Linked DNA regions of Kluyveromyces lactis. The protein of the gene in region 3 interacts with the protein of the main gene of each other region in a pairwise test. Links are inferred from orthologs where the notes say so. Each region holds a gene or a part of one and is shown on either strand. Other genes may lie near its edges.

The links.
Region 1: the proteins of CYC8 (region 3) and HOS2 interact in binary tests that used the Saccharomyces cerevisiae proteins (3 or more experiments, as listed by UniProt). The link is inferred for Kluyveromyces lactis from reciprocal best matches to the Saccharomyces cerevisiae genes CYC8 and HOS2.
Region 2: the proteins of CYC8 (region 3) and RPD3 interact in binary tests that used the Saccharomyces cerevisiae proteins (3 or more experiments, as listed by UniProt). The link is inferred for Kluyveromyces lactis from reciprocal best matches to the Saccharomyces cerevisiae genes CYC8 and RPD3.

What each region holds. Positions count from the first base shown.
Region 1 is NC_006042.1:847,043-850,397, forward strand, and holds HOS2 (histone deacetylase HOS2), read left to right. Parts: upstream 1-1,424; coding exon 1,425-2,783; downstream 2,784-3,355. Other genes in the region: IME4 (mRNA (N6-adenosine)-methyltransferase), read right to left, coding at 1-703; KLLA0_F09141g (type I glyceraldehyde-3-phosphate dehydrogenase), read right to left, coding at 3,246-3,355.
Region 2 is NC_006041.1:185,597-188,763, reverse strand, and holds RPD3 (histone deacetylase RPD3), read left to right. Parts: upstream 1-1,288; coding exon 1,289-2,587; downstream 2,588-3,167. Other genes in the region: PEX6 (AAA family ATPase peroxin 6), read left to right, coding at 1-950; lumazine synthase RIB4, read left to right, coding at 3,073-3,167. UniProt on the Saccharomyces cerevisiae protein: Catalytic component of the RPD3 histone deacetylase (HDAC) complexes RPD3C(L) and RPD3C(S) responsible for the deacetylation of lysine residues on the N-terminal part of the core histones (H2A, H2B, H3 and H4).
Region 3 is NC_006038.1:813,038-816,801, forward strand, and holds the start of CYC8 (transcription regulator CYC8), read left to right. Parts: upstream 1-1,265; coding exon 1,266-3,764. UniProt on the Saccharomyces cerevisiae protein: Acts as a component of the CYC8-TUP1 corepressor complex which is involved in the repression of many genes in a wide variety of physiological processes including heme-regulated and catabolite repressed genes.

The DNA.
Region 1 (3,355 bases), on a different chromosome or scaffold from region 3:
ATTCGATAATATCCGGACAATCAGCTTCAATCTTCTTTAATTTTTCACCTTGCAAAGACATGATTTTGTTGTTAACAGTATTGATGACGGTGGATAGTAGTGACACATGTTTCGGATCTGAGCATATTGGTATGAAAGGTGATCGCTTAGTGTTTAATTTTGCCTGTTCTTTAGATAACTTAGTGGATCCGAGTTCTAACGAGAGGATTTGATTTAAGTGTCTTAGACACTTAGCATTAGGGGTTACAATTTCACTCTGGTCCAAAATGCCCATCAACTTATTTAATAATATGGGTTCGCTTTCAATTTTTCTTTCTTTAACCTGAACAGAATCTTTATCGATCGCAATCTGCTTGGCTTTATTGCCAGTATGTGATAATGACAATTTAATAGCTTGGTCATAATGAACTTTTTGCAATATTTTCAAGGAGTCCCCATCAACAAATGAAATCTTTTGGCCAAAAATATTCCCGCCACTATCATCTTCAAAATTCATGCAACCACCACATACTTCTGAAATTTTATTCAAATCTTCACAAAACTGGTAATACGTCTCACCACATTCGTTATTCTTCCATAGGAAATTTTGCATGAACATGGAATAAATGACATAAATGTCGTGTAAGCTACCATTGATCGGGGATGCAGTGATGGACGCATAGTTGTCCAACATAAAATCAACTAACCCCCAATTCAAAGACATAATACCAGTTTCACTCCTTTCACTGCTCGGACAATTTCTTTCGAGACGCAGCTATATTCAGTTTCGTTTCACCTTGTTACTCCACTCAATAAAAAAACAACCGCCGACGTCAATATCTCTGGCTCCAGACAAGATATAACAAATCCGTATATTTTTTTCGATCACCACAACTTTCACAAACTTTCTGTGCCTACAATGTCATGAAACTATATATAAATTGCCGGCTTTTCCTCTCAGTTCCATCCACGTTTAACAATGGTTCTGTCTTAAAAAGATGGTGTATTTCGTGATGAAGCTGGGATTTTTTATTTTCAAATCCGAGTTTGATCTAGGTAGGAATTCGTTGTGAACAGGGGAATACACAGGCTCCAAACTGGCAGGAAAGTGAAGGGCTTTACCAGTGTATTATACGTGAATCTGCAACGATGCTGATCTCTCTTTAGAATTGTGGGGTACATCCTTCATCTTGATACGTTGTTATCACGTGATTGGTTCATGTGATGTACGGAGTTTATGGTTCTGATCCACTTGGAATAAAAAAACATGGAATTTGAAAATACAGTAATAACAGAACAACACATAAATAAAGTACGGAAAGGTCGAATAGACAATCGACCGAGCCAATACCCAACTCTTTGCAGATTGTAGCTACCAAGTATCAATTCTGGCTGAGTGGCAGTTATTCATTACGGGTAAGTGGTAGCGGAATCCTTTTCATAAGATGTCATCGGATACACTTAAATTTGATGAGAAAACGGAAGCTGAGAAGCCATTGTTTGATTGTGATTTTGGGACTTCCTATAGTCCCAGAGTCTCGTACCACTTCAATTCGAAGGTATCACAATATCATTACGGTGTCAAGCATCCAATGAAACCTTTTAGGCTTATGCTTACCGACCATTTGGTTTCGGCATACGGGTTACACAAAGTGATGGACTTATATGAGACGAGGTCAGCAACAAAGGATGAGTTAACAAAATTTCATTCTGAGGACTATGTCAATTTCTTAGCGAAGGTAACACCAGATACATTGAATAAACTTCCTCGAGGGTCACTCGAGAAATTCAACATTGGTGACGATTGTCCTATCTTCCAAGGAATGTTTGATTATGCTGCCTTATATGCTGGGGCATCGTTAGATGCTTCTAGAAAGCTACTTAATGGTCAGAGTGAAATAGCTATCAATTGGTCTGGTGGTCTACATCATGCGAAAAAGAACAATCCATCTGGTTTCTGTTACGTTAACGATATCGTGTTAGCCATAGTAAATCTACTGCGGTATCACCCGAGAGTGTTATACATCGATATAGATTTGCACCATGGTGACGGTGTACAGGAAGCGTTTTACACTACTGACCGTGTGTTCACTGTTTCATTCCATAAGTATAACGGCGAATTCTTTCCAGGTACAGGTGATTTGGATGAGATAGGTTGCTCCAGAGGTAAGCATTTTGCATTGAACGTTCCGTTACAAGATGGGATCGAAGACGACTCATACATTAATTTATTCAAAAGCATTATTGATCCCGTAATAACATCTTTTCGGCCCAGTGTAATTATTCAGCAATGTGGTGCCGACTCCCTTGGCCACGATAGACTTGGCTGTTTTAACTTAAATATCAAGGCTCATGGTGAATGTGTACGGTTTGTCAAGTCGTTTGGAGTACCAATGCTTGTGGTTGGAGGTGGTGGTTATACACCAAGAAATGTTTCAAGATTGTGGACGTATGAAACAGGATTATTAAATGGGGTATTGCTACAACCTAAACTTCCAGAAGGTATTCCATTTAGAGATTGGTTTGGCCCAGATTATTCATTACATCCAACACTAGATGACTTGTATGAAAACAAAAATTCCAAGAAATTTCTTGAAAATATACGGATTAGATGTTTGGAGAACATCAAATACTTACAGGGTGCCCCAAGTGTTCGTATGGATGCAGAACTCATCCCAACACAGGACATCACTGGCCTAACTGAAGAAGAAGAGGAACTGATAAAAGAGTTAAATGTCGAAGAGGACAAGGCTAGGTTGGCACAAATGGAGAAGGATGACTTTAAAGTGGGCGAACTATACTAAAATATCACGTGCGGAAATCTGATATATTTGTTTTTTTTTCTTTCTTTTGGTTACGCTTTGTAAATAGATATCCTATATGGAGTTGTTAGAATACTACTAAATTAACACTATTAAGGTAAAATTATGAGCACGAAGAAAGTGCCTTCGAGGTTAAATAAATACATTATTACCAATTAATATTAAGATCGTATACTTCATTATGCTTACATGGTATGGGTTTTTATTTAACTTGTCTATATGTGTTAAGAAATTTTCTGAAGATATCCTTTAGTAAATAGAATATCTTTAAATTGCTGTGAATATTAAATAATAATGGCGGATGGAGGTACAAAAGGTATTGTTTTGAAGTACCATCATAATTTTGTAAATTGTCGAAAACTTTTGAGAATAGTCTTCATCAAACGAAGAGTACTTTTTTGTCAGTCTACTGGGATTTTGAAATCAAACAAAAAAAGCGTCTCCTTAAACACCAGCTTCGAAGTCCTTTTGAGCCATGAAAATGGATAAATCAACCACTCTTGAAGAGTAACCATATTCATTATCATACCAAGAAAGGACCTTGAAAAAATGGT
Region 2 (3,167 bases), on a different chromosome or scaffold from region 3:
ATAGATTCTCAGACTCTATCGGAGCTCCTAAAATTCCTAACGTGACTTGGGATGATATTGGTGGGATGGATGTGGTCAAAGGAGAAATCATGGATACCATAGATATGCCACTCAAGCACCCTGAACTATTTTCATCTGGTATGAAAAAGAGAAGTGGTATTCTTTTCTATGGACCTCCTGGGACTGGTAAAACCTTGTTAGCGAAGGCAATTGCGTCTAACTTCTCTTTAAATTTTTTCAGTGTTAAAGGGCCTGAACTTCTTAACATGTACATTGGTGAATCCGAGGCAAATGTTAGACGTGTCTTCCAGAAAGCAAGAGATGCTAAGCCATGTGTCATTTTTTTCGATGAACTTGATTCCGTGGCACCAAAGAGAGGAAATCAGGGAGATTCTGGGGGTGTTATGGATCGTATTGTGTCTCAACTTTTGGCAGAACTAGACGGAATGAGTTCAGGAGGAGACGGAGTGTTCGTAATTGGAGCTACGAATAGGCCAGATCTTCTTGATGAAGCATTATTACGTCCCGGTAGGTTTGACAAGATGTTATATTTGGGGATATCAGATACCGATAAAAAACAGGCAAATATCATCAAGGCTTTGACGAGAAAGTTCACACTAGAATCTGGTATCGATATACTAGATATTGCCAAAAAATGTCCGTTCAACTATACAGGTGCAGATTTCTACGCATTGTGTTCTGATGCCCTTTTAAACGCTATGACTAGAGTTGCTGGTGAAGTTGATGAAAAGTGGGAGAAGTATAACATGGAAAATAAAAAGAATATATCATTGAGGTATTGGTTTGATAACGTGGCAAACGAGAATGACTTGAAGGTCGTGGTAAAATTACAAGACTTCGAGCTTGCTCAACAGAATCTAATACCAAGTGTTTCTGAGGATGAATTAAGACATTACTTGAGATTAAAGAGTAGTTTCGAATCTCAATGATCGTTAATAAGTAATCATATCGAATATTATTATAAATCATATATAACAAATATATTAACTCATCCATGCAGGATGATCTGGTCAGTAAAAAGTTGGTCTACTTCTTAATCTTCTTCAACTCGTGTAACATGACAGATCTCTTTAAGGCTTTTCTTCTTTCTTTAGCTGCTTGGAAATTCTATATTGATGGAGACGGTGAAAAATGAAGGTAGTGATTTCTATTAAAACCTTGATTTATGTCGAAAACATACCAAGAAAGCTATATAAACAAGAGGTGAAAAATTTGTACCGGCTCTCCAACTTAGCGAAACTATTAAGATTAATTGTGCGTGGACGGTATGGTATACGAAGCTAAACCTTTTGACCCGATAACGGTGAAGGCTAACGAGAAGAAGCGAGTTGCATACTTTTATGATGCTGATGTGGGAAACTATGCTTATGGTGCAGGACATCCTATGAAACCACATAGAATAAGAATGACACATTCGTTGATTATGAATTACGGTTTGTATAAGAAGATGGAAATTTACAGGGCTAAACCTGCAACGAAACAGGAGATGTGTCAGTTCCATACCGATGAATATATTGATTTCTTGTCTCGAGTCACTCCAGATAATTTAGATATGTTCCAAAAGGAGAGTGTGAAATTCAACGTTGGAGACGATTGTCCTGTGTTTGATGGTTTGTACGAGTACTGTAGTATATCTGGAGGTGGTTCTATGGAGGGTGCAGCCAGATTAAACCGAGGCAAATGTGATGTTGCCATTAACTATGCTGGTGGTTTACATCATGCCAAAAAATCGGAAGCTTCAGGGTTCTGTTACTTGAACGATATAGTGCTAGGTATCATCGAGTTGTTAAGGTACCATCCTCGTGTTCTTTATATTGATATTGATGTGCATCACGGTGATGGTGTAGAAGAAGCTTTTTATACTACGGATCGAGTTATGACATGTTCTTTCCATAAATATGGGGAATTCTTCCCAGGTACTGGTGAATTGAGAGATACTGGTGTCGGGAAAGGTAAATACTATGCTGTGAATGTCCCATTAAGGGACGGTATTGACGATGCCACTTACAAATCGGTATTTGAACCAGTCATAGGTAAAATTATGGAATGGTACCAACCTTCTGCCGTGGTACTCCAATGCGGTGGTGACTCTTTATCCGGCGATCGTTTAGGTTGTTTCAACCTTTCAATGAAGGGTCACGCAAACTGTGTCAACTACATGAAATCGTTCGGTGTTCCTCTCATGATTGTTGGTGGTGGTGGTTATACAATGCGAAACGTGGCTCGTACATGGGCTTTCGAAACGGGTATTCTGAATAATGTGATTTTGGATGAAGAACTTCCTTACAACGATTACTACGAATATTATGGCCCTGATTACAAATTGGATGTCAGACCATCTAATATGTATAACGTCAATACACCGGAGTATTTGGATAAAGTGCTACTTAATATTTTCAGCAATCTAGAGCATACTAAATATGCCCCAAGCGTTCAACTCAATCACGTTCCTCGCGATGCGGAGGACAAAGGTGACGCCGAAGAAGATACTGCAGCTGCGAAGGACACTAGAGGAGGTTCTCAGTATGCAAGAGACATAACCATTGAGAATGCAACCGAATTTTAGCCAGAAAACAAAAACAGATGATCTTTTATTATTTACTGTATTATAATATATTTACACTTAGAAGTACTCTTCCGCATTTGCTACAGGTTTTATCGTCACTCACCTAATCACTGTTATATGTCATTCATCCGACGGTTAATATGATGCTGAATATACAGATTGGTGCCCAAGTTAGAATTGATCTAATGAGGTCAATTTTCTATCGTGTTTTCCCTCCGTCAGTATCGGTATTTGCCATAATTTTCCACGTAATACTATTCCAGTTCAGATATGACTTACATCTGCACTTCGGTTGTCAGTAACAAATCTATATATGAAAAAGATCAAAAAATGAAAATCCAGAAGCGAATGGATATTTAAAAGTTAAGATCAGATAGGTCGATTACACAAGAATAAAGCTTATCCTATTTCATATAGAGATATATATTATCTGATAGTAGATACGTTGTATCTAAACATTCAAATCACAGTTAGTAAATTTTGCAATGGCTGTTAAAGGTTTGGGTCAATTGGATCAAGTTTATGATGGTTCTAACTTGAGAATTGGTATCGTTTACGCTCGTTGGAACAGAACAATTAT
Region 3 (3,764 bases):
TGCTGTCATACCGTCTCGGCTGTTATGCGAAGGTAACGAAATATTTTTTTTTTTTCTTTCGAAAAAAACGTCGACTCAAGCCATCATCACAAACTCGTCCCAGAAGCAACGTACGACTCGCATATTTGCTGAATCTGGCAAATCGCATACCGTAATATCATTAGAATTAGCCCCAAGGCAATTCTTAAGCACTCGAGGGAAAAAAAAAAGATAGAAACGAACATTCACACACAGAAACTTACAGCTGAGAGAAAGAAAGGAAACAGTAGAAAAAAAGAAAAAGCAATGATGAAGTAAGCCTGATTAACATGGTGGTGCGAGCGCCAATGCTTTGCATACTTTACCTGCCTCTGTTCCACTGAAAATCCAACAGAGAAGTGTTTGCAGCAGATAACACGAACACAGACATCAGTTTTTTTTTCCCCGGTCAGGGTGAATTCATCGCCTCCCTCCACTTCGTATTATCACCCCTCGAGTTTTTGATTCGTAATAGAAGAAGGCAAGAATCCTGTGATATTTTATCGTTTCTTCCATGATGCAGGTTGTCAGAGAGAAGATTCTATATGCCAGGAGATAAAATAAAGAGCTACTCCACAGACCTACCTGTACAAGTAGACTCAATGGAGACGTTCATACACAAGAGTAATTAGATATAGGGTAGACATAGTACTAAATAGATACAGCATCTTGACATAAAACTGACGGTTTGCCAAAATGTCGACATTACTGAGAGATTCCGCTAAAAACGCCCGCAGATTCCGTTGAAAAAAAAAAAAAAAAAATTAAAAATAACAAATAAACGTTTGCATTGGTTTTGAAGAAACAGAAAAAAAAAAATTGAAATAAATAAATGTTTAGAATTCTACTAACACGATACTTAAGTTTGATTGTCAACATCTTTGTTGTTTTTTTTGGAGAGAAGGACACAAATAGGTAACGAAGATCTGCGAGAATTATTGGTTCTGTATTTTGATAGTAGGTTATAAACCTGGAACGATTGATCGTACTTTAGCTCAGTGATAATAGCGAGAGCCAGGTTATTTTTTAAGTGTGACGTAAAGGGTTTGTATTTTGGTCTACTAAAAGCAAGAAATATTCAGACTTATAGCCTGGGAAATAGCACGAATACACTCTCACACGCTTGTACTATACTATTTTTCTACTTATAATTTTTTTTCTTTGTGTGCAAAATATAAACAGATTGGATATCCAGGTTTGGATTGTATCGAATAGGTAGGAAACGAAACAGAATTGGCGTTTGATATATGCTGAACGCAATTTCAGGTCCAGCAATGGCAGTCTCGTTACAACAACAGCAACAGCAACAACAACAACAGCAACAGCAGCAACAGCAACATGGATTATTGGGACACCAACATCAGCAGGGCATGTTGCAAGGGTTACCACATACCATGAATGGTGCGGTTGCTGCTTCTCAATTAGCAATGCAACAACCAGGCCAAGCGTCAGAATATGGCAATGAACAGGTACCAGGACAAAGTCAGTTGCCGATAGAGGTACGTCCTCAGGATTTGTTGCCGGTTAAACAGCCTTTGAAGCCTCTAGATCCGTTGTCTCAGTCCACAGCAGAGACCTGGCTGTCCATTGCATCTCTGGCAGAGACTTTGGGCGATGCTGATCTGGCTGCAATGGCATATGATGCGACTTTACAACATAACCCATCGTCGACAAACGCATTGACATCGTTAGCTCATCTATATAGGTCTCGTGATATGTTCCAAAGAGCTGCAGAGCTTTACCAAAGAGCTCTTTCTGCGAACCCAGAGCTGGGCGATATATGGGCTACTCTTGGCCATTGTTATCTAATGCTTGATGAATTACAAAACGCATATGCAGCTTATCAACAAGCCCTTTATCATCTATCAAACCCAAACATACCGAAACTATGGCATGGAATAGGTATTCTATACGACCGTTATGGATCTTTGGATTACGCAGAGGAAGCATTTGCCAAGGTTTTGGAACTTGACCCACAATTCGAAAAGGCAAATGAAATTTATTTCAGGTTGGGTATCATTTACAAACATCAGGGGAAATGGAATCAAGCCTTGGAATGCTTCCGTTATATCCTGCCTCAACCTCCTGCTCCGTTACAAGAATGGGATGTCTGGTTCCAATTGGGTAGTGTTTTAGAGTCAATGGGTGAATGGCAGGGAGCTAGGGACGCGTATGAACATATCATATCACAGAACGACCGCCATGCAAAAGTCTTACAACAGCTCGGTTGCCTATACGGTATGAATAATGTATCATTTTATGACCCACAGAAGGCTCTAAATTTACTTCTCAAATCTTTGGAAATCGATTCTACTGATGCTACTTCGTGGTACCATTTGGGTAGAATTCATATGATCAGAAATGATTACACCTCTGCATATGATGCCTTCCAACAAGCCGTTAACCGCGACTCAAGAAACCCAACATTCTGGTGTTCCATAGGTGTATTATACTACCAGATTGCTCAATATCGTGACGCCCTAGACGCTTACACCAGAGCAATCAGATTGAATCCTTATATCAGTGAAGTGTGGTACGATTTAGGTACTCTATATGAAACTTGCAACAATCAGGTCAATGATGCATTGGATGCATACAAACAGGCTGCAAGGTTGGACCCTAACAACGTTCATATTAGGGAAAGGTTAGACGCCCTCACTGCTCAAATAATGAATCAACACCAATCGGGCGAACAGCAACAACAGCAACAACAGCAACAGCAACAACAGCAACAACAGCAACAACAGCAACAGCAACAGCAACAGCAACAGCAGCAACAACAGAAGATTGAATACAATCAGCAGCCTGCTCTTCCTTTACCATCTCAATTACAGCAACCCCAACAACCAAACCAACAGCCACAACAACCAGTGATGTTACAACCAATGCTGCAAAACAACACACAAATGTTCAATCCTCTGAATGACAAGCAACAAAATGGCCAGGAGCAACAATATGCTGTCCAACAGTTCCAACAACAGCAACCTATTCAGCACACTAATATGCCACCGGTTCTTCAAAGAGTTGATCAGCAGCATCCACAAGTTGTGCAGCTACTGCATCAACAGCAACAACAAGACCACGAACATCCACAACAATATCAGCAATCCCTGCAAACTCAACAACAACTACCACCACCACAAACCCAGCAGGTGCAACAAGGACAGCAAGGACAGCAAGGGCAGCAAGGACAGCAAGGATACCAAAATGGACAGGAACAATCGCTTCAAAATACCACACAAGCCTCCCAGGTCACACAAGCTCAACAAATCCCTCCGCCACCCCAAGTGCAACAAACCATTCCTCAAAAGAGACCTTTGGAGGGGGGAATGGATACATTGTTCAACGCTATCTCACAACAAGAGCAGGAGCAACAGAAGCAAAAGGAGGCGGAACAGCAGCAAACGACAGCACCACAAGTCACGACACCCCAAGTTACGAACACCGTACATAGTACACCTTCCGAGCCAAAAGTCGAACCTAATGATAACAACCTTGGCATCGTCAACGATACAAACAGCACCATTGCACCAGCTACGCAAAATGCTGACACAACTACCATCGTACCAGCAGAAGGAAAGCAAGAGTCTGTACAAGTTACTGAGGCTGAGGGACAGCAACCACAAGAATCTCAGGCACCTGCTGGTGAACCTGAAGCACCAACCTCAGAAGCTAACGTTGTTGAAAACACAAGTGCCACCGAGAATCATAATGGAGCAGAACCTGCAGTAGCTAAACCTGAGATA